Cricetulus griseus: one gene and its partners. The main gene of each other region encodes a partner of the protein of the gene in region 6 in a complex. Links are inferred from orthologs where the notes say so. Each region holds a gene or a part of one and is shown on either strand. Other genes may lie near its edges.

The links.
Region 1: Polr2f (region 6) and Polr1b share a complex: the UniProt entries of both Homo sapiens proteins name them as parts of the pol I pre-initiation complex. The link is inferred for Cricetulus griseus from reciprocal best matches to the Homo sapiens genes POLR2F and POLR1B.
Region 2: Polr2f (region 6) and Taf1b share a complex: the UniProt entries of both Homo sapiens proteins name them as parts of the pol I pre-initiation complex. The link is inferred for Cricetulus griseus from reciprocal best matches to the Homo sapiens genes POLR2F and TAF1B.
Region 3: Polr2f (region 6) and Taf1c share a complex: the UniProt entries of both Homo sapiens proteins name them as parts of the pol I pre-initiation complex. The link is inferred for Cricetulus griseus from reciprocal best matches to the Homo sapiens genes POLR2F and TAF1C.
Region 4: Polr2f (region 6) and Ercc3 share a complex: the UniProt entries of both Homo sapiens proteins name them as parts of the TBP-based Pol II pre-initiation complex. The link is inferred for Cricetulus griseus from reciprocal best matches to the Homo sapiens genes POLR2F and ERCC3.
Region 5: Polr2f (region 6) and Polr1h share a complex: the UniProt entries of both Homo sapiens proteins name them as parts of the pol I pre-initiation complex. The link is inferred for Cricetulus griseus from reciprocal best matches to the Homo sapiens genes POLR2F and POLR1H.
Region 7: Polr2f (region 6) and Taf1a share a complex: the UniProt entries of both Homo sapiens proteins name them as parts of the pol I pre-initiation complex. The link is inferred for Cricetulus griseus from reciprocal best matches to the Homo sapiens genes POLR2F and TAF1A.

The regions. Positions count from the first base shown.
Region 1 is NC_048599.1:49,468,457-49,472,575, forward strand, and holds the start of Polr1b (DNA-directed RNA polymerase I subunit RPA2), read right to left. Parts: upstream 2,801-4,119; coding exon 2,624-2,800; intron 1,686-2,623; coding exon 1,518-1,685; intron 1,349-1,517; exon of another isoform or gene 1,324-1,348; coding exon of another isoform or gene 1,141-1,323; intron 1,041-1,140; coding exon 894-1,040; intron 1-893. UniProt on the Homo sapiens protein: Catalytic core component of RNA polymerase I (Pol I), a DNA-dependent RNA polymerase which synthesizes ribosomal RNA precursors using the four ribonucleoside triphosphates as substrates.
Region 2 is NC_048600.1:27,154,602-27,158,101, forward strand, and holds part of Taf1b (TATA box-binding protein-associated factor RNA polymerase I subunit B), read right to left. Parts: intron 1,441-3,500; coding exon 1,296-1,440; intron 1-1,295. UniProt on the Homo sapiens protein: Component of RNA polymerase I core factor complex that acts as a GTF2B/TFIIB-like factor and plays a key role in multiple steps during transcription initiation such as pre-initiation complex (PIC) assembly and postpolymerase recruitment events in polymerase I (Pol I) transcription.
Region 3 is NC_048596.1:196,235,005-196,237,389, forward strand, and holds part of Taf1c (TATA box-binding protein-associated factor RNA polymerase I subunit C), read right to left. Parts: intron 1,891-2,385; coding exon 1,652-1,890; intron 1,544-1,651; coding exon 1,427-1,543; intron 1,314-1,426; coding exon 1,196-1,313; intron 1,102-1,195; coding exon 1,030-1,101; intron 884-1,029; coding exon 748-883; intron 645-747; coding exon 507-644; intron 64-506; coding exon 1-63. UniProt on the Homo sapiens protein: Component of the transcription factor SL1/TIF-IB complex, which is involved in the assembly of the PIC (pre-initiation complex) during RNA polymerase I-dependent transcription.
Region 4 is NC_048595.1:205,106,278-205,110,219, forward strand, and holds the start of Ercc3 (general transcription and DNA repair factor IIH helicase subunit XPB), read right to left. Parts: upstream 2,801-3,942; coding exon 2,773-2,800; intron 2,559-2,772; coding exon 2,353-2,558; intron 1,395-2,352; coding exon 1,158-1,394; intron 1-1,157. UniProt on the Homo sapiens protein: ATP-dependent 3'-5' DNA helicase/translocase. Binds dsDNA rather than ssDNA, unzipping it in a translocase rather than classical helicase activity. Component of the general transcription and DNA repair factor IIH (TFIIH) core complex.
Region 5 is NW_023276806.1:228,752,119-228,756,252, reverse strand, and holds the start of Polr1h (DNA-directed RNA polymerase I subunit RPA12), read right to left. Parts: upstream 2,801-4,134; 5' UTR 2,758-2,800; intron 1-2,757. UniProt on the Homo sapiens protein: Core component of RNA polymerase I (Pol I), a DNA-dependent RNA polymerase which synthesizes ribosomal RNA precursors using the four ribonucleoside triphosphates as substrates. Can mediate Pol I proofreading of the nascent RNA transcript.
Region 6 is NC_048595.1:376,260,628-376,264,684, forward strand, and holds the start of Polr2f (DNA-directed RNA polymerases I, II, and III subunit RPABC2), read left to right. Parts: upstream 1-1,257; 5' UTR 1,258-1,393; coding exon 1,394-1,413; intron 1,414-1,432; exon of another isoform or gene 1,433-1,550; intron 1,551-4,057. Other genes in the region: C2H22orf23 (UPF0193 protein EVG1), read right to left, coding at 858-960. UniProt on the Homo sapiens protein: DNA-dependent RNA polymerase catalyzes the transcription of DNA into RNA using the four ribonucleoside triphosphates as substrates.
Region 7 is NC_048598.1:11,083,342-11,086,841, forward strand, and holds part of Taf1a (TATA box-binding protein-associated factor RNA polymerase I subunit A), read right to left. Parts: intron 3,173-3,500; coding exon 3,049-3,172; intron 2,265-3,048; coding exon 2,110-2,264; intron 1-2,109. UniProt on the Homo sapiens protein: Component of the transcription factor SL1/TIF-IB complex, which is involved in the assembly of the PIC (pre-initiation complex) during RNA polymerase I-dependent transcription.

The DNA of each region.
Region 1 (4,119 bases), on a different chromosome or scaffold from region 6:
TCGAGTCTGCACACTCCCACTACTTCAGCTCAGTAACCCAGAACTGCCTCACACCGCTGGAGAAACCACGAAAAAAAGGGACATGGGTCAGTCATTCAATAAGCTCAGGGAATTTTACTGTAAGTAAAAACAGTTCCTACAATACTTTTGTGAGTAAGTATGCCTCTGAACATGTATAATTCAAAAAATTAGGACCAGAAAAATCACTCAGTGGGGAAAGATATTTGCTGTAGAGCCTGAAGATCTGAGTTCAAACCCTGAGAGCCACATGATGGAAGAAGAGAACCAACTCCTCAGATGTTGCCTGCTGATCCTGTGACCTCTACACGTGGCCAAATTGAGAAAGAGCCAGGCTTGGTGGTACAACACCTTTAATCCCAGCACTGTGTGTCTGTGGGGGGAGGGAGGCGGCAGATTAAGATGGATCTCTGTGAGTTAAAGGCCAGCCTGATTGATCCACACAGTGAGTTACAGGCCAGCCAAGACTACATAGCAAGACCCACCCTACCCCAACACCCAAAAAGAAAGAAAGAAAGGTAACAAAAGAAGATCTGGGTTGGGAGTGTGGCCTGATGGCACACTTGTGTTTCAGATGAGCAAACATGTTCAGGAAGAGGAAGTAGAAAGAGGAAAAGGGAAGGAGGAAGAGGAGGGAGGGAAAGGGAAAAGAAAACGATTTCTAGGGGGAAAAATCCTCCTAGTACAATGCCAGAAACAACATTTAATGTATAGCTGCTTTCTCCACTGCCTCAATAGATGGGAGGAAGAGTCATGCACAGCACTCAGGCACAGTATCAACACTCCATACGACACAGCCAGAAATCAGAAGTCAGAAACACTGATTTCCACTGGCAAGCTTCCTGTTTCCCCACCACCTAGATCCCTGCACTTACCTCTGCCTCCTCATGGTGCTCAATGAGGGCTTGAGGAGGAAGGTTGTATAAGTTGCAAAGTTTAGACTTTACCATGATGGGAACATAGCCAAGAAACTGTTTAATGACCCCTTTGGGGACTCCATTCACTGCCCAGCTGATGTCAGCCTACATGAAAACAAAAGAAAAAATAGACTATCTGGACCTGCAAGAATAAATGAATATATTTTTTTAAATGTTTAGATGTATTTATTTTTATTTTATGTACATGAATGTTTGGCCTTCCTGTATATCTATGTACCAGATGTGTGTCTGGGGCCAGTGGAGGCCAGAAGAGGGCATCAGATCTGCTGGAACTGGAGTTACTGGCAGTTGTGAGCCACCACATGGTGCTGGGAACCAAACCCCAGTCCTCTGAAAAAATAGTCAGTGCCTTTAACCATTGAGCCATCTCTCCATCCCCACAAGTGAGTATTCTAAGAAAAGAAAGAGGGCCATAGTGAATTGATTTTACATGTTAGGTTCAAAAGATACAATTCCTTAAGTTGCAACATTAAGAAAGCAGACCTTTCCTATAACCTTATAAGACATTAGCTTGAGTCTCAAAATGGTGCAGTACAGCCACCTCACATCATTAATGCTCACCGTCAGCCTCCCACGGTAGGTGCTCCTTCGGCCCCGGCACTCGGCTGGATAAACGTTGAGCTCTTTGCAGATGGTCCCTTTGGGCACTGAGGGTGGACTGATAACAGCATCCACAATAGTAAGAGATATTCGTTCATCTTTGAAAGCAAATTCAAAGGGAGGTATGGCCTGAAATACAATTCGTACTACTAAATCACTTGCATTTTTCAAGGCACTTTTCACTAAGACTCTTCGATGTCTATACTCACTGATGTCTATCACGTCAGTGGAACACATCTAAAAGGGACAACTAAAGCTACAACAAACTGGTAACTTCGCCAACTACTTAACTATACATAACCATTCACTAGGGGCCTTTGCATTTGATTGTGGGGCAGGCTCTACAGATACGGGAAAAGGCTGAGCCAAGTCTACCTTCTCCATACAGCAGGACAGAGAGAACTGCTGCTCTTGGGCAAGAACAGGGAAACCAGATGCTCTTAGCGCCATTCTTCATACTAAGCTTTTACATTTTATTCCCTCAGACTGAAGCCTGGCAATTCAAAGAATTCCAAATGACTCCCATACTTTTAAGTTTCAATCTGGCAGTCAAAGCTCTCCAATGCATCTCCATCCCCATCTCTCACAACGCAATTGTTCAGCAACAAAACCTCAGGGTAGTGTCCACTACATACATGGCTCTCCCTGTACCTAACCTCCCCCTGTAGGGAAGAACCATCCTCTTTCCTTGACCTTGTCTAAAGGTGGGCTTTCTAAACACCTGGATTAGTCGCACTTCCCTCCTGCCCCTGACTCAGTAAACGCTACATTTTAGGGCAGTTCTCAAGAGTACTGGCATTGACTGCCTGCTGGTGCTGCTACCTCTCTCTCTATACAATCAACAACCAAGAGGAGCACTCAAACCTGAGAGGCCTCTTAACTGGGGAACCGGCTACAAGTAGCAACGAAACGCTTTTCTCTCTGAGCTACCCAAAGCATTGCACGGTGAGTGCACGTCACTGTTTAAAGCCGTACAGCGGCCTCCCGGCCACCTCCTCAACCGCTGGGACCCTCCGGGCCCACTCGGGCCGCCGGTAGGGCTCCGGAGCCGAGGGCGCGCCGCTCACCTGCACCGCGTGGCTCAGCCCCTCCAGCACCGCATAGTTGAAGGAGTCCACGTGCGCCCGCGTCAAGTCTTGCAACGCCGCCTTTTGCTGCTCCGGAGGAATCGCATAGGACGGGTCGGTTAAGTGCTTTAAGCTCGGTCCACTAGGCAGGCTCCGCCACCGGCCGTCGAGATCCATGCTTCTGCCAAGCCGAGACCGGCGACGCCACTCGCAGCCGGGACCGGAGACCAGAACCACAACTCCGCTTGCAGCCGGCAGGAAATGGCCGGAGTCGCAGACCCCACGGCCTGCTGGGAAATGTAGTTCCTCTTGTTCCGGCCCCCCCCTCCCCCCCGCCACACACCCTGGGTCCCTCCATTTTGTAGGGCCGACTGGGAACCAAAACTGTTGCTTATTGGGCCGTTGAAAACTACACACAGAGACAGATTAGCCTCTTCTTCCAGATGTATCCTGCAAACCTTGCTAAAGCCCACTGCACTTTAGTGTGTAACTTCTGTGGCCTTTATTTGCTCAATCAGTCGATTAGAACCGATAGAACTATCTTCAAAGAGTCTCTTCTGTTGCTTTGGGCAGTTTTCTGATTACATCCTGATGCTAACCCTAAGAGACTCTGGCGTCTTGGCTTCAACCGAAATGCAGCTGTTGGATCCTAAACCTCTGTTCTCTCTACCCAACTCTTTATCATCTATCTATCTATCATCTATCTATCTATCTCATCTATCTATCAATCGATCGATCAATCCAGCCAATTATTGGTCTTTTGAGACAGAGGCTCTTATGCCATCGGTTTTCAACCTGTGGGTCACGATCCCTTTGACGAACCTTTATCTCCAAAAATATTTACATTTCAACTCACAGCAGTAGCAAAATTACAGTTATGAAGTAGCAACAAAAATAATTTTATGTCTGGGGGGTCACCACAACATGAGGAACTGTCTTAAAGGGTCGCAGCATTAGGAAGGTTTGAGAACCACTGTTGTCTGTAGTCCTGGTTGTCCTGGAACTCCATTTGTAGTCCAGGCTAGTCTAGCATAAACAGAGATCAACCTGCCTCCTCCAGACTGCTGGAATTGAAAGCCACCATACACAGCCCCGAGCTACTAATAAGTCAAGTTCATCACTGGGACGGCCAGCAGGAATCAGGCTATCCTACTCAACCCCCTACGCCAAAAGAAGCCACCCCAAACCACTTCTGGATAGAAATCCTACGGTATCAGTTTTTGTATGGGCATGTTTTCAATTCTCTTAAGTATCAGGGCTAAGAACAGAATTTCTGTGTCATTTACTCCATTCTTAACTTTGTGAAGTTCTGTGAAACTATTCAAGTGAGCTGTACAATTTAACACCCCTCTAGCAACATCCTTACTATTTTATGATTGTATCAATCTTATCACTTGTACAATTGCATCTATTTGTAGATTTTGATTAGCATTTCCTTAGAGGCTAATAGTGTCAAACATCATTTCATGTGTATATTGGTTAATCTGGGAGAAATT
Region 2 (3,500 bases), on a different chromosome or scaffold from region 6:
GTCACACATACACTCATTCTCACACACATTCACACTCACACTGTCACACATACACTCACATTCTCACACACATACTGTGTCACACTGTCACACTTTCTTTTTTTTCTTTCTTTTTTATTTGAATTACAAACAAGATTGTTTTACATGACAATCCCAGTTCCCTTCTCCCTCCCTTTCTCCCCTACCACCCCCCAACTAAAACCCTACCTATCACATATCCTTTCTTCTAATCTACACCTGACTCAACCTTTCTGCTCCCTCATGACCTCTGCATCCTTCCTCTTCTTCCCTTCTCATTCTCATAGCTCCCTCCCCCCTCTTCCCATGCTCTCAATTTGCTCAGGGGATGGTGACCCTTTCCCCTTCTCTAGGGGACAATGTTTGTCTCTTTTAGGGTCTTCCTTGTTTATTAGTATCTCTGGCAGTGTGGACTGTAGGCTGGTAATCCTTTACTCTATGTCTAAAATCCGCATATGAGACACACTTTCATACACACACACACACACACACACACACACACACACACACACACACACACACACTCGGCCTGGTGGTCACTGTGACCTGACTGATTCACTAGACTGAGTGACTCCAGCTATGTAAATTCTGTGTGGAGATGAAATGTGGAGCTGTGGTTGATTTTACTACATTTATTTTTCACTTTCATATTGTGCATGCATGCTTTGGGGGAGGACCCATGCTAGTGTGCACGTGGAGGTCACAGAACAACTTGGGGGGGGGGTCAGTTCTCTCCTTCTACCATGTGGTTTCCTGGGATCCAACTCAGGTCATTAGGCCTGGCAGCAGTCTCCTGCCTCTAGCTCCCAAGTGCTGGGAGTATAGGCATTGCATCACACCACACCTGGCAGGACTCTGTTATTCTTAGGATGAAATGCAGGCTTTAAGATTCTATACATCAAAGCTGGGCGTTGGTGGCACACGCCTTTAATCCCAGCACTCGGGAGGCAGAGGCAGGTGGATCTCTGTGAGTTCAAGACCAGCATGGTCTACAAGAGCTAGTTCCAGGACAGCCTCCAAAGCTACAGAGAAACCCTGTCTCGAAAAAACCAAAAAAAAAAAAAAAAAAAAAAAAAAAAAAAAAAAAAAAAAAAGATTCTATACATTAAGCCAGCAGCCAGAGTTAGCCATTAGCTCTCTAACCTGAGTTAGAGACCTGGGACCCACACTGTGGAAGAGAGAACACTCCCATGAGCTGCCCTCTGACTGTCACACGAATACTCTGTATACATACACAGAAAACACATAAATGCTTCTCTGATGGGCTCACCCCTTACCTGACTTTGGGGATGCTTTGACAAGTGGGAAAGGCTTTGGAATCTGGGGGTCAGACTGGAACTCTGCTCCACTTTCAAGGGTGGTGTCACTTAGCAGCTCAAGTTCACTGGCACAGTCTGAACTCTGGAGATTATCTCCCAATACCTGTCCATAAAATAACAGACAGAAATGACTGCTAGAGTTTAAAAGTTAGCTTCTATTATAGGCCTTCCTGAGGGAACTGTTCCCCAACAGTACCTGGTAATGCTTCCTTGAGAGGACTGCAAACAAGGGTGAGTGGGGAGACTGTCTGCTAGCACACACACACACACACACACACACACACACACACACACACACACACACACACACACACACACACCCAGGTCTTCTGCTTCCAGAAGTACCTCTCTTGTCAAGTGAAGGGAATGACATATGCAGGGGCGTGGGGATGTGGCTCAGTTAATAGACTGTTTGCTGGGCATACACAGAGCCCTTGGCTTGGCCCTTTGCACATAAACAGGGCACCACAGCCTATGACTGTCAGTCTAGCATTTGGGAGGTGGAGGCAAGTAAAGGTCGTCCTTGACTACACAGCAAGGCTGGCTTATGATAATGATGTTTTATCACAACAACAGAAGCCCTAACTAAGACTTGGTTAGAAGCTGTAGTGCAGAGGTAGAATGCTTGCCTACCTTGCAGGAAAACCTGGATTCAATCCCCACACACAAACTACGCATGGTAATGGATGCTGTAATCTTAGCACAAAAGAGGTATAGACAGGAGGATTAGAAGTTCAAGGTCATCCTCAGCTACATAATGAATGAGTCTGAGGCCAGCAGGGACCGCCTGAGACTTTGTGTCTAAGTCGGGGAAGAGTGTGTCTTACAAACAACAACGCATCAGATTTGATGATTATAACGCCCAGGGACAGTTTTACATTCTGATCTTTTCAACGGCAGACCATGTCTCACTATATACATGACATTTCCTCTTGGATGCCTAACGGCCACCTCAAACTTCACATGTCCCAAACCCAACTCCTGATCATCCATTTAAGGTGGCTCTTTCTTTCTAGCTGCTTAGCCTGAGAACCTCATAGTCATCCTAGACTCCTGTCTCCCTAAGCCACCTCTAGTCCATCAGAAAATCCTCTTGGCTCTATCACCAAAGTTCATCTCAAGTCCTATTCGACATCCCCTGTGCACTGCTGGGCCCCAGCCTGATGCTACTCGCCAAATGTGAGTGAAGTTTAGCATTTCTTCCCTTCTACACCTTATGCTAATCTACCCCACTTCCCAGAGCTCGTTCATCTCCCTGCAAAGTCAGTCCTCCCTGGCCATTTTGGCTAACTAACACTTTCCCCGATGCTCCACAATACAATTGTTTGCTTGTTTTAGAAGTTTCCAATTTATCCATAGCTCAAAAGTTATAGGGCAGGATTCAGATGCAGGCCTCTCCAATTCTTGGAACAGTAGCATCCAGAGCTCCAAGATACACTTGCAGACTTACTGAAAAGCCTACATTTCTGAGGGTGGAACCCATGGGCTCAAACTGCTGAGCAAGTTCTGTCTGTAAGCTATATCCCAAACCTGTTTCTAATTTAAAATGCAATTTTCTCTCCCTTTCAACAAAGGGTATTGCTGTACTCGTGAGACAGAAATCATATAATTTACCCATGAGCTTCTAATTTCACTTGTTATTTATTCACCAGGATTTAGTGTGATACTGTCACCCAGGGGTTCACTCATACTGACAAAACTTTTGTCTGTTAAAGTTTTCAATTAGCCTAAAGAGATTAAAGTGTCACAGAGAACCCTTGGTTCTCATTCCTATTTTCTCCATACCAGGCAACATCATAGAACACAAAGACAACCACAAACAAAACACCAAGTGTGAGATTTGAAGGCCAGGTTCTCACCACGTTGAGTAATTCTCCCCCCGCCCCCTTTATAAAGAGCCACCATAAAACCATATAGCATCTTTTATTTTTCTTGACAAGCTTGTGGCTCACATATCCAGACAGGCTAGTGTTCCATAACTTTATGATCACAAAATGTTTCCTTTTTCCAGTTAATCCAAATTACCTTTGAGGAGCTGGTTAAAGTTCATCATCTCGTATTTAAGAGGGTCAACTCCAGGTCATTTCCCTAACTTGTGTCTTGCATGACTTAACTACTCTAACCTCAGCCCCGGGACTAGTTGCTAAGCACGGAGGATGTGTG
Region 3 (2,385 bases), on a different chromosome or scaffold from region 6:
GCCGTGGTCCCACTTGAGCATTGGCACCAGGGGGAGGCGCTCATCCATCAGGTAGATCGAGAACTAAGGAAGAGGGAAGGGGTGGACATGGCTGATGCCTGGCACCAATCTTCCAATAACCCTCTCCAGGCCACACAGTCTGTAGGTGGTACCCAACACTCAGAGGAGGGCACTCCCATCAGCCTTCAAGCTTGGCCTACCAAACTTGGAACACGTATATTTCCTGGGCAGACAGCACCATCCCAGAAGTGTTCTCATTAGAAGCATGAAGAAAACTTTGCTCCCAATGGTAAACTCTCATGCCACCTGGGACCCTGAGCAACAGTCAACCTCTGCCTCCTCCCAGGTTCTGATCTGATTTTGCAGATGACCCAGTTTGCCTGCCTTAGTGAGATCACATGCATGGGGACCCAACACTCCCCTGTTCCTGTGGCTGTGTATCAGGCTGGTTGTCAGATGTTCTGGAGAAGCCTGAGTCAGAGCCTAAAGAGGAGGCTGCTTCTTACCTGGGTGCAGATGAGATGCAGAGGGGTACAGGTGGGACCTGGCTGCCCGAGGTACTGGGCAAGCAGCACCCGTTCTCCTTTCTGGCAGGCAGCCTCTGCTCCAGCACGGAACAGCAGCAGCCCACAGCCTGGGGGACCCTAGGGAAAGAACAGCACAATCAGCCAGTCTTCAGGCTGGAGATGGGCCTCCTACAGCCCATGACTTCTGGCTCTATTGCTTCTTAACCCCTCTCACCCATACCTGAATGTCAACCATCTTCAGACCCGTGCGGTCACCCACAGTCAGCACCCGGGGATGAGCAGTGAAGTCTACCCAGCGCCAGGGAGAAGGATCACGGAAGGCAAGCGTCTCAGGGTCCTTGTAGACCAGCTGCAGCCTTGAGGAAGGCAGGTCATGGGTATGGGTATGGTGGGGCTTGGGGGCACAAGGGTGTTGGGCTGGGCTGGAAGGAAGACTGAGCCATGGAGCAGAAGGCCATGGTTCTGCTTTGGGGTGGAAGGTTTTAGGGGAAAGGAGAATTACCCATCTTGTGGGGTCCATAGACACACAGCTCCAGAACGGCTGCAGATGGCCATCTCTCCTGGCAGGTGAGGGCTACAGGGCACAGGACGCTATGTTATGTTATGATCCAGCAACCCAGCACTTCCTTCGGGCCCTTATCCTTGCCAGGAAGCCAACAAACTCTCACCTGAGGCTAACACCAGTGGCCCCCTTTTCCACCTGCAGTACCTGCAGGGATGCTGGTGGCCCCTGCTTATCAGTCTTCCATATGGCACAGTGGTAGTCAGAGCGGACGGCCAGAAGTGCTGGGGAGAACAGAAAGGTCAGACTTGGAGTGTGTGTATAGCACTGGCTGGGATGGTAGCCAGCTGGACAAGAAGGAAAAGGGGAAGGGAGAATGCAAGGGAAAGACTCTCACTTTCTCCCTGGACAGTGCTGGTCACCACCTGCCGTACAGGTCCCCGCAGCTGGATGTGCCCGGGGTCCTCAAGGACCCTGAGATTGCCACCTGAGTTCACACTGACCTCCTGGAAATCTGAGCCCCTGGTTAAGGACTGGGATGGATTCTTGTCACCCGTCTTAACTCTTCCCCTGGACCACTCTGTGGATGGCCTCAGGATCCCCACCACATGAGAAAGGATACTCAGCTTGTCCAAGGCACCTCCACTAGGGTAGACCAGTTGTCCAGCCCGTGCTGTCCTTCCAGGAAGCCAGGCCAAGGCACCCCCGGTGAAGGCCTCATCCAGCAGCAACTGCTCCCACCGCATAGCCAGCTCTTCATGCAGCAGCCTCCCCAAAAGCAATGACACTGAACTGCTCAGGACAGGACCCCCAAGGATGGAGAAGCGACGTAGTCGGTGGCTAAGGAAAGCCCAAGGACACCTAGGGACAATGCAGCAGAGGATGGTACTGGGACAGTGAAGGATAAGCAGTCTCTTTGACAACTCCCTAGAAAACACCCTACCCAGTTCCTGGACCCCATACCCTGAATATTTCAGGACCTCCTAGTGAGTGGGCCACAGAGAGCTGGGAGGATCCAGCCAGACCAACCAGTCTTTTCTAGGATTTGTGATACTTTGGATACTAACTCCTTGGAATAATCCTGTTGCTACTTGAATTAAGTCAGACAGAAGGAAGTGGATGAGAAAAGAGAGCCCTGTAAACATTCTGAAAACCTGGATGAGCTGTAACTAAGATCAACCAATGACCGATTCTTTTTTCCCTTAAGCTGCTTGAAGCTGGGTTTTGTGGACTCGTGGCTCATGACTTTGGGCTGGGTTAGAAAAGCCACTGTGATGAAAACCTGGTCTGTGTCCTAGATCCTTCTACATCCCACCACCAGCCAGGCCTATCCATGGCTGCTTTCTCACTGGCTAC
Region 4 (3,942 bases), about 170 Mb from region 6:
AAAAACAAACAAACAACAACAACAAAAACCAAGACAAAACAAAATAACCCAGCTTTTAAAAAAATTGTATTGGCAAATGAACTCATCCCTAGCCACCACTGCCTCTATTTTAAATCTTAAGACAAGTTCTTATAAACTGACCAGCTTAGCCTTGAACTTTCAATCCTCCTCCCTGGACAGTTGGGATTAGAGGCATGTGCCACCATGCCCAGCACAATGTAAGCTTCCTGGTGACGACCCCAATCTGCTAGTAAGAGTCCAATTGCCCCAGCACCATAATCCTTATAGGCAGCTTCCCACTAAGACTGGGCCTAGCCCTGGTGATTTCTCCTTGGGCATCCTTCTATATCACAACAACAGAGAACTCTGTAGAGCTCCAAAGCTTTTCTGGGAGTGGATGTCCCTGGTATTCTGCCTCCAGATGTTAGCCAACGGTAACAAAAACTACTGTCCTAATATTCACTTATGTTCAATTGCTGTGCCCATGGAACTCTCCTTACTTCAACATTTGAAATTTTGACTTTCTCTAGTAGAATTCATTTACCATGGGTCTTGAGTTAAGTATTTAACCTTAAATGGTGCTCACTACCTGTAATAGTCAGTCACCAAAAACCACACAACAAGGATTTACTTTTTCAGAGTTCTAGATGTTCATGATCAATGGACCAGGACCAGCTGATTGAGTTTGTGGTCAGGTCTCCTGACTGGTAGATTGCCACCTTCTCTCTACATAGTCCCATGAAGAAGGGACTTATGACAACTCTATTAAGACAAGTATCTTCCTGACTGGGAGGTCTCACTCTTATGGTCTCATTTAAGCTTACCAAATACAGGTATATCGTGGTTAGGATTTCAATACACACACACACACACAGATACACACATATAAATGCAGTCTATATTGCCAACCATTCAGAGCTGTTTTCCCAAATAACCCTTGCTAGACTGAACCTGAATCATTACCCCATGCTAGGACAACTCATGGGAAGCATAGCCTCAGCCAGAACCACAGCTGGATACAAAGCAGCAGCAGCTAGGCAAAAAGCTATTGTACTACCAAAGGAGACACAAACCAGGCTGCATTTTCAAAGCAAAATACAATATCCAAACACACCACAGCCACATTATCAAGATAATTAGAGTTGCTAGCAACTCACCTTAATAAACTGCATAATCCCATCAGGGACTCCAGTCTTACTGAGCTTTTTGAGGTACTCAGTGATGTCACTGGTTTGCAGCCCAACACTGACAGCTGCATAGAGGGAGTAGGCAGTTAACTTGTATTCATGTACATGAGTAGGCCGGCACACTGGCTCTGCAATTGCCACCAGGAAGTCCTGAGCGTATTTGTAAACTGGAGAGAAGGCTTCCAAAAAAATGTGGCCATCAGGAGCCTAAAAACAACAAGTAAACACAGCAGGCAAGACTATTAATGAGCTGCAGATCACTAGACTCTCATATCATTATATCAAAAAGGATGAGCTGTCCAGTGCTAAAGATATTCTTAGACATAGAAGATCAGAGAAAAAAACAGGTTTCCAATGTTCCATATACAGAAATCTTCTCTAACTTACTATTCTCAAATTGCCTTTTAGATAGAATGAAAATGAGTGAAGAACATTATGTATTTTAAGTCAAGCAAACTCAGCTACCAAATACATGTCTTCCATTAACTTGAAAGGGGGCCAAAGAGATGGTTCAGTGGTTAAGAGCACTGCTGCTCTTGCAAAGAAGCCGGGTTCCATTGCCTATAACCATGAGCTGGAAGAGGTGGGAGGGGGCCGAGGGGGGGGCGCACGGGGGGAGTGTTGATGGCCAATCAGTCTAGCCAAAAGAGGGAGCTGGGCAAATAGGTGAAGAGTGATTGAGGACAATCTCCTGACATCAATCTCAGGGCTCTATAAGCAGCCCCATGAGCACACCTGCACAATGTGTGCACATAGACCACACACACAAAGAATAAGTAAATGCTATTTGTACATTTATTGATTGTTTGTATGTGGTGTATGTGTACGTGTGAGTGCAAACATGCCACAGTTCCAATGGCGAAAGTCGGGGAACAACTTGCCAGAACCGGTTCTCTCCTCCTACCTTGTAGGTACTGGTACAGACCCAGGTCTCACTGTTGACCTGCTGAACTATCTAGCCGGTCTACAATGCTATTAGGCATTTGCCACTGTGTGGTGGGCTGGGGACAACTGGGGAACGCCCAGGTCACCCCAGCTATTCCAATTTGCACGCACAGCAGTCTCTCCAGCTGTTTCAGAAAAGCAGCATTTCTGAATCTTGCATTTTGGAGGTGTGGGAATGTCCAAGATTTAGCTGCCACCCAGACTTTTGGGCCACGCTTACCACCCAGAGGGGCCTGGAAGCATGATCGCTCTTTAGCGGCATCTGCAGCCTGTAGTCCTTGGCTCCATACTCATCCACTTTGGTGCCGGACTCGTCCACCTGTTTCCCAGCGGCTGAGGGCACTGCCTCCTGAGAGTCGTTCCCAGGCGTGTCGTCTTCGTCCTCCTCTTCCTCCTCATACTGCCTCTTTTTGGACTTCTTCTTGTCTGCGACAGAAGACAGAGAAGTGAGTCCAGCAGGACTCTAGGATTCACACGGCACCGCACAGGGGAACTTGTAAGTTCTCCTGAACCAGCACTCTGTATCCCGGCGTCCCCCAGGAGTCCCGCAAACACCTCCCACCCGGCTCGGTACCGCATCTCCTGGACCCCACAGACAGGAGAAAACCCTGAGACAATGACCGTTACAAGGAGTCCTTACCGCGATCTACTCGGTCTCTCTTGCCCATAACGGCTCCAGGACCAGACAGCCACAGCACACCACACCGCGTAAACTCCGGAGGAGTTACTTCAGAGGAATTTCCGGTCCATGCCGGAAATACAGCACCAGACGGTCGGAAAACCCGCCTCTGAGACTTTGGACCGGAAGAGCGGAGCCACGCTGCTCACAGCCGACTTAAAGTGAGCTGCGCGTGCGTGGGGTGTTCGTCCTCCACTCGACGAGTTTGTTTTGAACCTCATTAGTGCTAGGGGGCTTGCGCTTACCCTGTAGTCCAGGCTAGCCCACAACTCAGAGATCTGCTTGTCTCTGCATCCCCAGTGCTGTGGTTCACTGCGCCCTGCCTTCGCTCTGGTTTTTGTTGAGGCCACTGCTTAGATCGCTAAGGTAGGACAGTGAACACACCTGATGGTTCCCTCAGCCTCCCTTCAGCTGGGATCACAGCCGTGTTCCACCACACCTGGTTTCTGAAAATTAAATTCTAAACGGGAGAGGTAGGAAATACACATTGTTTTAAGGGAAATAAAATGGTCCAGTGTCATTCTAAATGGAGTGGCCCTGAATGGGGGTGTGTGGCTCACTTTTTGCCTATACCAGAAACCAAAGAATAATCTTGGTACCTCACCAAAGATGACACGAACAATAACTCAGCAAGGCATTTCTTTTTGAAAATGGTGCCCCAAGGGGGCTGGAGAGATGGCTCAGAGGTTAAGAGCACTGACTGACTCCTCTTCTAGGGGTCCTGAGTTCAATTCCCAGCAACCACATGGTGGCTCACAACCATCTGTAATGAGATCTGGTGCCCTCTTCTGGCATGCAGTCATAGATGCAGATGGAACCCTGTATACATAATAAATAAATAAATCGAAAGAAAGAAAGAAAAGGGTGTGCCAGAACCCAAAGGGGCTAACAAGCACATTCAAGGAGGCTGTTCACGTAGTTTTTAATTTGGTGATTGTGTGTTTTCCCCATTGGCTGGGGTTAGACCTCATGGCTTCTGACAAGTATCCGGTTTTAAAACAAGGCACAGAGGAAATGGAAGGAAGGGGAAAGGTAGGGTCAGCTGTTTTGAATTATCAAATTCTGGTCAGCAGCCTGCGTGTGGCGGGGGCAAAAGTTTGTTTGTTTTTTCCCCTCCCATCTAGCAGGTTC
Region 5 (4,134 bases), on a different chromosome or scaffold from region 6:
TCGGGCGGGGGCTCAGGGGCCGGGCTCCAGGCCGGCTCACTTGGTGTTTGCCCTCGTGCCGGCCCACCTGGTGCTCGTTCTCGGGCCAGCCCATCTGGTGCTCGTTCTCGGGCCAGCCCACCTGGTGCTCGTTCTCGGGCTGGGCGTGCGGCTGGTGGCGGGGGAAGTGGAAGCCGCCGGGGGTGGGGATCGGGGAAGCCGCCGACAGGAGGAAGAGGAGACAAACTTGAGAAAGAAAGGGCTAAGGGGCAGGGGTCTTTCACCTTAAGCACACAAGAAACATACAGGTGGCTAGGTGAGGTCTCATTTCTGTAATTAATTTTCAGCCTGACTGTAACTGGTTTTAACTTAGTAAAATATTTGAAACTTAGCACAGCTGAATTTAAGACTGCATAGGGTTACATTATAGTCCTTAAACAGTAGCTACAAGTACACATTTTAGCTGCTTGCTCAAATGAGACAGGGTTTTTCTGTGGCTTTGGACCCTGTCCTGGAATTCAATATGCTGGACCAGGCAGGCCTTGAACTCAAAAAGATCCATCTGCCTCTGCCTCTGGAGTGCTGGGATTAAAGGCGTGTGCCACCAACACCCTAAACTTAACTTCTGAAAAGATAAACATCTTATAATAGATTAGCAGCTTTTATAAAACAAGAATTTTACATTGTCAGGCTTTGCTTAAAAATAATTTTAAATTGAAGCTCTTTAAGTACAAACATTAATAAAAATAAACATTTAAAAAACTGGTTTTAAAAAGAAATTTAAATTCCCTTAATATCTTTCTGTAATATATAGAAGCATTAACACTTTAAATCTTAACTGAAAAGCTTGTTTCTAAGATGGAACCTCTAATTTCCACGCGGTCATCTTTAGTCAGGATGGCGGTTTAAGTATCTTTTTTCAACTTCAGCAAAATGGCTGCCAGTCAGCCATGTGACCAGTTTGCCATGTGGCTGGTTACAAAATGGCCATAACTTGCACCCTTTGCTTAACATGCTTGTAACAGAACTTAGGTTATACCAGGAAAAAGAACATTTTAAAACAAGTATACATAAATTACTTGAGAAATAAACAGGACTTTTTAAAAACAGAATTAGCTTAATATGGTTAAAATTTTAACTTATATTACCATTTTTAAAATTTACTATTTGTTGACATGAGAAACCATAGCAAACAGTTTACATTTTTCTCTTTTAATAATCTCTTTTCTGACCTTCTATGACTTGCTTTAACTTTCTATAACTTTTTATAGTTCTTTCCTCTGATTTTCTTAGACATTCTTAGACAAATTTTTCTTTTTCCTTTTTCTCTTTATTATTTAAGTCTCCTACATTTTCTCTCATTTCTCAGTCAATGTAAAAATTTTTATCAAAGTCCCTTTTACAGTTTTTAATAACTTTTAATAACTTTAAGGCCTTTTTTTTTTTTTAGAAGTCCGGATCAGGCCAGATAAGTTCATACGCCCCAGCTCCATGTGCTCAAGGCAGAGACCTGGGGTGGGGGTGTTGGTGGTAACCCCAGACCCTTGGCCAATGCAGGGGTGGGATAATGGGATAAAGACCCCCTCGGTCCCCCTGCATACCATGTGTGTGGAGCACAGAGAAGGCCGAGCAGCCAGGCAGATGGCGGGCCTTGCAGCCATGTTCCCTCAGAGCAGGGAAACTCCCTTGGCAGGCAGGATGGCAGCTGGGGCAGAAACAGCCCCACTTGGCATGCCTCACAGACCCGCAGGTGGGGATAGAAAGGGGGTGGTGTGGTGGATCCTGAATTGAAAACCAATGATGATAACACAGAATAGACAGGAAAGAACAGACGCCAACCCAATCCGCCCGCGCCGCTTATAAGGCAATGGCGACGGAAGATGGGCTGCAGAACCCAGCGGCTACAATCATCACTAACTGAGGAGGATCCAAGTCCTTGGCCTCCGTTCGTACCTCCTGGGTGTCCTCAGAGCAGCAGTCTGTCCTCCGGGCGCATCTGCTGATCACAGTTGAGGTGGCATCATGTGCTCAGAGCATCAAGAAAAGACCCCTGACCCATGCATTCCATGTGCATGGGCAGTAGGGACAGAAAGAGATGTTTAACACAGACTAGGGTCCTATTCGGAATTTCAGATGGCTAGCCCCGTGGAGATCAACTTGGTTCGAAACCAAGTCTCCCCTATAGATTTCGGAAGGCTGCCGCCCGAACTTCCGCCTTAAACAATTCTTGTAGGCCTACTCACAGATGTCGCCAGAAACCCCAACATAGGACCTCCATATCCACAAAATTAACAGAAATAGTAAAATTGACACACAAGCAGACGGTTAGGGTGTGGGCTGCAACAGATCAGATAACAGATAACAAACCTGTTGCTCAACTGTTCAGTCACCCAGCCCATTCCAATCCTCTAGGCTTAACAGACACCAACAGCAAAACAGGACATCAGACAGGACAAACCCTGTGGCAAAGAAATGGTGCCCCAAACCAAAATTACAAACAACCCTTGGACTTCATCCAGGGCGGAACCAAGGATTCCAGAAATACGTCTATTTCTGTGCACGTCTGCTTACCCTATGGTTCAATTCAAATAGCCCTCGGACTTTTGTCCAGGACGGGACTTTGAAATATGTCTATTTCCCCCTGAAGTCCAAATTACAAATCACGAGTCCTGCGCAGGCTCAGATCAACAAAAGAGCAATTTCAAGTGGCACCAAACCAACAAAAACAAGCAAACATATAACATTGAACATATAAGTTGCGAGCTCGAATCATCTTACCTCCAAGATCGAATCCATTCAGGTGAAGGGTGGTCGCAAATCGCGGACGAGCCCCCAAATGTTAGACCCCCCGGAAAACTCAGGTATCCGGGGTCCCAGGCCACATTCTCGGTCACCCCAATCACCAGGCGGATTCGAGAGCTTGATGCAAACTGCATGAGGCTTTATTGTAATTTAACAAGCTAACCCCATGTTAGCTCGGGTCTTTTACCCACCCGCCGTGGCAGATGGCTCGCAAAAGACAGCTCCTAGGGTCTCCCAAGAGATCTTACAGGGCAGCGTAAGGGGAGTGTCTAGGGGTATGCACAGGCTCACTATTGGTGTGCCTCCAGCCTTGGAGGGCTTGCCCTGTGTTGATTGGCCAACTGGTTGTTATGGCCCATAGGCCCTCCCAGGGTGGTTGCTATGCTTTGTGCGTCATTGCTGAGTGCTTATCCATAAAGCACACCCTGGGTCATAAAGTATAGCGCCACCAGCTAACTTCTGATTGGTTCCTTGTCTCGAGGCAGGCATCTGACTTTCTAGTGACTAACTTCTGATTGGTTCCTTGTCACTAGGCAGGCATCTGACCTCTAAGTGACCAAGACAAGGTTATGGCAAGCATGTGTTCGGCTGTTATGGCTGCTGAAAGGGAAGCTGGTCCCTTCACTATCAGTCTCCACATGAGTTCATGCCCATGCAGAAACACCCACATGAATATCCAGAGCTGTCTAAAGGGTCACAGCATCAAGAAGGTTGAGAACCACTGCTCTAGTAAGTGAAGAGAGTGAAAATGCTAGACTTAGGAGTCAGAATGGAATGGTGAGAACCAATTCCTGGAGAAATGATCTGAGAGCAAGGACATCATTTTCCAGCTATGGGAAGGAAAGGACCAAGCAGGATGCAGGATTATGAAGTCCTAGAGGAAACCCCTAGCCTAGGACCTCAGATCAGGAGGCATGAGAGAAAACATTTTCTTTAAGCTTGGTAGGTTGGTAAATGCCTGTAATCCCAGAGCTTAGACAGGATCATTTGGAGCCAGAAGACAGTGGGCTTCGTAGTAAAGCCCCGTAACAACTCAGGCTGAAAAGTGGAACATCACCATACTCCAGAAAGCTTCATGTACTCCCACTCATAGCCACCTCCCGGCATCCAAGAATGTATTTCTAAGTGGTACTATTTGCAGTTACATTGTGGGGATGAACTTTTATTCATTGATGTTTTTAAATTCATCCTTGAAGATATATAGAACTTAAAATGAATGTGCTAAAAACAAATTACCTGGTCTGTTCACATAATTTGCACTATTGATTTTTTTTCTCAACTTGGAGTTATGCTTTTACAAAGAAAAAAAGAGCAATAACAATTCTATCCTTATGTTTCTAGTTCATGTGCAGG
Region 6 (4,057 bases):
TGTTGAATAAATTAATGTATTAATGTTCATTTACATATCAGAGGCTGAAGCCACAATTGTGAGCAGGAACAGGCACTTTGTCTGGTGTCATTCATCATTTAGAAGGTGATATCTGGGGGGTGCTGAAGAGGTGACTCAGTGGTTAAGAGCACTGGCTGGTGGGATTAAAGGTGTGCTCCACTACACCGGGATTCATTCCCTCTCTTCAGTATGGAGATTAAAGGTTTATGCTACCACGCCTAACTAAAGTCTGTTGCTACTTACAATATTTGGAGTTGAAAATAGAAAAATAACTATGTATAAATTAATTAAACTTATTTATTTTTTAAAGAGCACTGGCTGGCCACGAAGTGGTGGTGAACCGCCTTTAATCCCATCACTCTAGGCAAAGGCAGGCGGATGGATCTCTGTGAGTTCGAGGCCAGCCTGGTCTACAGAGTGAGTTCCAGGACAAAGCTACACAGAGAAAGCCTGTTTCAGGGAAAAGGCATTGGTTGGCTGTTTTACAGAGGACCTGGGTTCATTTCCCAGCAGTCTCTAACTCCAGTTCCAAGGAAGCTGGCACCCTCACAAAGACATACTTGCAGGCAGAACATCAATGCACATAAAAATAATAAATCTTTAAAAAAAAGGTGATAGATGGGAAACTAAACGCCTATAAGAACAATATATTGTGCTAAGCCCAGTGAAAGGAATTGGATCTGATACTGTGTGAGAGGGTCTTACTGTGTGTGGTAGGGAGGAGATAAACTTCATTGAAAGTGCAATGTAAAGATGAGCTAACCACTCCTAAAGTTGCCGTCCTTTGAGCCTTTCAGAATCCCAGTCTCCTATCGTTGTTCCTCTAAAGCACTGACCTCTGAGCAGCTCGCAGGTTCCCGGCGTGTAAGCGAGTTGCTTACCGCAGCGCTGGAACCCGGTTCCATTGCTCACTGCGTCCACCCTCTCCTGTGAAGCCATGGGAGGGCCCTAGGAGGGAGAGAAGCAATAACCAGCCCTCCTCGTGTCGCAGTCCCAACCTCTCATCCCCAGCGCCCTGGGCGTCTGAGAAGCGGGTGCCCGAACCCTCGGCTCCGGACAGCGCAGTCACCACAGTCCCCATCGAGATGGTCCCGGGCGGAGCGCTTACCCTAACCGTGACGGCGCCCTCCTCCAAGAGATCCCGGGGGACGCCAGAGTGTTAGTGCTCGCACCAAGCGCATCTGGTTACTATGGTAACTAGCGTATACACCCCACGCACACGCATTAGCGACTCGCCTTTGGCTGCCTCCCGGAAGTGATTGCCTTTGGGTCACGGCGCAGGCGCAGACCACGCGTAGTGCTGCCGGGGAACGCTGAGGCGCGCGTCGCTCTTCTGCCTTCCGGACCGGCCAGTGCGGGCAAGGAAGGCATCATGTCAGACAACGAGGACAAGTGAGCGCGGGCTCGGAGGGGAGGAGGTCGTGGTGCGAGCGGGGCGCTTGGAGCACAGGCTAGCCCAGATATTAGGTCTGTTGGGCGAAGTCTTCTAAACTTCCTACCTCGCGGAGCAACGCGGAGCAGCATGCACAGTTAAGCCCGTGTAGCCCGTGCCCTCCGGGCACCCCCTTTCTGGAAGGGAACGCGGGTAGTGTAGTTCGTTTAGTCGTGGAACTAGGAAGGAGGAAGCAATCCAGAGGATGGCCTGGAAGGCTGGGAGCAGGCGCTGGTTTAGTGTTGCTTGGGGCAGGGTCCCACTCTGAAACCCAAACTGGTCGGGAATTCACTATGTAGCTAATGCTAGCTTTGAATGTGCCACAGACCCAGCTGAATTTTGGACATATATTTTATTTATTTGGAGACTAAATCTCACTGTATACCAGGTGGTTCGAGTTTAGAGATACAGCCCGGTGGTGGTGGCGCACGCCTTTAATCCCAGCACTTGGGAGGCAGAGGCAGGAGGATCTCAGTGAGTTCGAGGCCAGTTTGGTATACAAAGCGAGTTGCAGGACAGCCAGGACTGTTACATAGAGAAACCCTGTCTCTAGGGGATAAAAAGAATTTAGAGGTCGTCTACTTCTGTCTTCCAAATGGTAGGATTAAAGTGTGAACCATTGTGTGTGGCCCCTGGTACCCACACACACACACACACACAAAATCCTACATGTATATGAGAGAAAGAGATGGTATACACATATATCTGGAACACTGCGATTTACAGGTATATGCTACCATGGGCAGCTCCTAGATATATTTTATTTATTTATTTATTTTGAGACAAAGGTTCTGTACATAGCCCTAGCTGTACTGGAAGTCACTGTGTAGACCAGGTTGTCCTCAAACTCACAGAGATCTGCCTGCCTTTTTCTTATAGCACTGGGATTATGCCTGGCTCCTGATATATTTTTAAAATAGAGCCAAAAGGATTTCCAGATGGGCTGTATGTGTTAGGTCATAAGAGAAGATAAACTGTGGGAGTCCTAAAATAGATATAGTAGCCAAAACTCGGAAGCTGGGTGTGGTGGGCTCACACCTGTAATCCTTGCTTTGGGGAAGCTAAGGCAGGAGGATTGCCATGATCTTGATGTCAGTCTGTGCTACTTATCAAGTTTCAGGGCAGCCTGAGTTACATAGTGTACAGAGTGAGACTCTGTCTCAGAAACAAGCAAAAATACAATGAAAGCAAAGCAAAGATGGGAGTGTTGACCAGGGTGGTGAGTGATTGGGGGAGTGGGGGGGTACCCAGAAAAGGCTGAGGAGGAGTCCCACACCCCAAGTGTGAAGCAGGAGGGAAGAGCCAGGTGTGCTAGCTGTTAGAGGAAGGTGAATGAGAGTGGGAAGGATTAGCAACAAAACGATCATTAGTGAAGTGGTGTACTTTGGAGGCAGAGGCAGGAGGATCTCTGTGAGTTCAGTCTGGTCTACAGAGCGAGTTCCAGGACAGCTAAGACTACACAGAGAAACCCTCTCTCAATCAACATCCCCACCCCCCAAAAAAAGATGATCAGTCTTTTTTTTTTTTTTTTTTTTTTTGGTTTTTCGAGACAGGGTTTCTCTGTGGCTTTGGAGGCTGTCCTGGAACTAGCTCTTGTAGACCAGGCTGGTCTTGAACTCACAGAGATCTGCCTGCCTCTGCCTCCCGAGTGCTGGGACTAAAGGCGTGTGCCACCACTGCCCGGGCGTGGTGGAAGTCTTACTGAGGTGAGATTATGGCCGAGGAAAGAGAAGACTTGCAGACAGTGAGTTTGGGCAGCTCCTTCACAGATTTTGTACCATAGGAGGCTGATGAGATTGATCCACATTTGAAGGTGCTTACTGTACAAGCCTGACAACCCAGGCTTGATCCCTGGAACCCGGAGGTAGAAGGAGAGAATGGGAAAGGTTGTCCCGGTGGTATGTGTGGGCCTTCGTGCAAACACATATCATGCACACATTAACCATAACTAAAAATAATTTAGAAGCCTGGTAACCAGAGACCATGAGAATGACAATGTCACATGGGCCTTATTTTTTTTTTACCCTCCCTCCCCCCATTATAAGGGAACAAACATGGAATTAGGCTGTAGCTGGAGGAAAGAGAATAATGTGGTTTTCTCAGAGGTGGGTGGGGTAATGGTGGTGACGCTTTGCTCCTGGGAATTAATGCCCAGGGATTTCATGCTTGTTGTATATACCTCCGGCCATGAAGTAAATTTTGTTTGTTCTTGTTCTTGAGACAGAATCTCATTATGTAGCCCAGGCTGGGCTTAAATTCCTGAGTCTTCCACTCCCAGTGTCCAAATGCTAGGAGTACAGGAGTGTGCCATCACACTCACAGATTTACGGCTTTCCCCTCATGATAGGGCTAAAACTATGTTGGTGACTGGAGGGGTGGCTTAGTAATTACCAGCACGTGCTGCTTTTCCTGGGAGTGAGAGTTCAGTGCCCATCACCATGTTGAACAGTTCCAGCCACGGGACTTGATGCCTCCTTTCTGGCTTCCATAGGCGTACATTCACACACACAAACATAAATAAACCTTAAAACATAAATCCCCAGACCAGAAAAGTACATGTGCTGACTGAAGTAGTTCACAGAGAGAAACATCGATGACAAGTCC
Region 7 (3,500 bases), on a different chromosome or scaffold from region 6:
TTGATTTGAAGCATTTATTTTTGTTTTTACTTATGTATGCTGGTGTGCACATCACATATTTATGGGTGCCTACAGAGGCCAGAAGAGAGTGTAGTTCAGGCAGTTGTTGGCCACCCAATGTGGGTGCTGAGAACCTAACTTGGCTTCTTTGTGAGAAGAGCAAACATTGTTAACCACTGAGCCATCTCTTCAGTACCTGCCACAGGCCTCTTTTTTCTTTTTGTTTTAAGAAGGGTACCATGGAGTTACCTATCTATACTGGACTTGAAGTTACTGTATAACCCAGGTAGGCTTTGAACTTGGAATTGTCCTATTTGAACCTCCCAAGTGGCTGGGATTACTGGCCTGTACCACCAGACCTACCTGTGATTATTTATATTAAATCATATATTAAAACAATCATAAATCATATGAAAAATTATTTTTATTATATCCTCAGCTGACAAACATCTATCTTTCCTAAGAAAATACTAGGTTATACACCATAACTACAGAACCCACCTACCATCCTCAGAGACAGCATGCTAGTGGTGGGGCCTATAGTGCCCATAGTGTTACTAAAATAATCTGTGGTGTTTCGGTTTGCATATAATTCCTGGCCTCAAAAGATCCTCCCACCACAGCCTCCTAAGTATCTGGAAATAAGGCACTAATTTATATTCATAAACTACTTTATAGTAAAAGTTAAATACAACCAGATCTCTGCTTTTACCTATACAGAAAACCAGATAGAATTTCACCCTGTCCTAACACCAACAACTGCATAAACCTGAAGAGAGCTTAAGGTGGAAGGCAATGGGTTGCTAACTATAAGGAAAGATCCCTCCAAAGAGAAAAAGGGCCTGCCTTGCTTTACACACAGCATGGGAGGAACAACAGTTGTCACACCCTTTCTCAGACAAAGCAGAAGCTGACCAAGATGGACTGTGAAGGTGTAACAGTGGTGGCCAGAGTGAGAAGCAAACTCAGCTCAATGCCAGAACATACCCTGATGGAAGAAAGGTGCCCATTCTCAAGAAAAAAACATGTCTCATAATTCTAGAATACTTGGGAATTCATAGAGCCCTCCAGGAGATGATCTCTTGGTATTTATAAGTCTGTTAGCAAATAAGGAAAGAGCCATGTTTACAATGAACATTTCACACAGAAGGCCACCAAATGTCATTGCTTGATCTAAGTGACAGGAAGACTGGAAACTGTCCCTTCAGACTCTGCTCCGATGCAGTACCCTGAGCCGTCTGTACGGTCTGTGCTCAGAGACCAGGAAGTGATGAGGCACTGCAGGCAAGCCCATTTCTGTGCCATCACCAGTGTGTGACTAGAAATGGCATTTTTCACCTCTGTTCTCATTAATCCTCCTTTTCTCATAAAATCAATCTTTTCCTAATCTTAGTGACTACAAGAAACACACCAATTCTCATTCCACAAGAGACGCCCTCTTAGCACTGCACATGGTGTAGCCTCAGGGTCCCACTAGGCATTGACACAAACCACAACCAGGCGAACTCTGGGAGCTCATGAGCACAGGGTTCCCGGTGCTCACTGAAGCACTCCTTTCATACTTTTGGATGTACTTCCTGGCAGTTTTATTTCAGTGTGTTCCACCACTCATGTTTCAGTGGTGCAAAGCAGGTAAGCATTTTACTGGCCAAAATATCCCATAATAAAAGACCAATTTCCTCTTTTTAGAAGACTTGCTGTTAATAGGTGGTATTCTTTCTTTTGGGGTGGTGTGGGGGTGGAGGGGATGTGCATTCCTTACAGGACAGGAGAGGCTAATGAATAACTGAGGTCAACTAAGAGCATCTTTGTGCTTTCTGTGACACTGTCCATAAGCTCAGTAAACCTGCACAGGAAGGCCCAAGAGTCTGAACAGTGCATTTTATGTCCCGAACTCATGCCAGGGCATAGAAGCCAACCGCACAGTTCACAGGACCCCGAATAAGCTCTTATCACGATCCTGCTGAGGGCTCACACTCTCAGTCCTGTCATTTCTCAAGCACCTAAAACCCCTAGGCATCATACTGGACAAGATGAACAAACCGGCCCACTTTCTAGCTTCAGACTTGGCCAATACTACATCCAAATAAACAGAACAAAACCACAGACCTTTTCCTAAAAGGATTCCCACTACAAAAGCTTTCTCACACGCCAAGTCAGCATCTGCCTTCCAGTCGCTCTTTGCCCAGAAGAAGCTGAAGTGAAAGGTGGGCCACCAGCTTCTTCTAGACATCCACTCTTCTTCAACCCATACCAGATGGCCTCTGCAAGGAAACACGGGAAAAGGGCAAGTGAGTGAGGGGAAGCTGTCAGCAGGAGCTCAATGTGGGAGGTCTCTAAGACAGCACGGGACAAGCCCCGACTACAGAAGCATGGAGGCAAGCTCACGTTCACTCTTCTTGGTCTCCACATCCCATGCCCACCTCAGAGCCCATGCCCTACAGCATGAACACCAAGTTAAAGCCCTGGACTGAAATCTCAGACCCTCCATCTCCAATCACAGGCTCCTCACTCAGAATATACATGAGCAGAGCCACGCCTTTTCTCACACCCAGAATATACATGAGCAGAGCCACGTCTTTTCTCACACCCAGAATGTGGCACTCACAATATGCTTGGCAAGTGCAGCATCAGACACTTTAAAATGCAGGGCTGATAGCGGGTGAGGGTGGCGCACGCCTTTAATCCCAGCACTCGGGAGGCAGAGGCAGGTGGATCTCTGTGAGTTCGAGACCAGCCTGGTCTACAAGAGCTAGTTCCAGGACAGCCTCCAAAGCCACAGGGAAACCCTGTCTCAAAAAACCAAAAAAAGGAAAAAAAAAAAAATGCAGGGCTGATTTTGCTAACACAAAATACATGCACAGGATTTCTAATTTCAATTAGGCTTATGATTTTGTATTTCACAGCTTCTGATACTCAGAAAAGAAAGAGCTAAGTAGCCCATAAAGGAAATGTGAAAACATCACGTTAAAAACTTTAAAAGCAACCACTAAAATGTGGCAATTATTACTTATGATAAGCCAGTGAAAAATACTGTTTCTTACTCACTCCATTAATGTCTGCTTCAGACACTTTGCCAAGTATTTCCAAGCAGTTATGTTCTTAGTGCATCCGGCAAAATCAAGGAATTCAAATAACACGCTCAGGCCCAACTTCTGGTGTTCTTCTGTGTCTGCAACAGTCACAAAAGCCTAAGCTTACAGACGGTACTGGAGAAGCGCGCTAAGAAGAGACACCAAGTTAATGAAGTATTGTTAACTACAGGCCTTCTAATTGGTTAAATGTTTAAAACAATTCATTATGCTCAGTGTCCTATGATGACCATAAGATGGTGAGCCTCTTCTGCAGTTAGACCCCTCTAAATACCGCCTACCCTATTTGGCATTTTTGGTATATTTAGGTTGGGACCTTCAGACTTTGTAGTATCTGTCTTAAGCAAGGACTTCTAAGGCAGACGTTCTTTACTATACTGCACAACAGCCCTCAAAGGGTTAACAGAG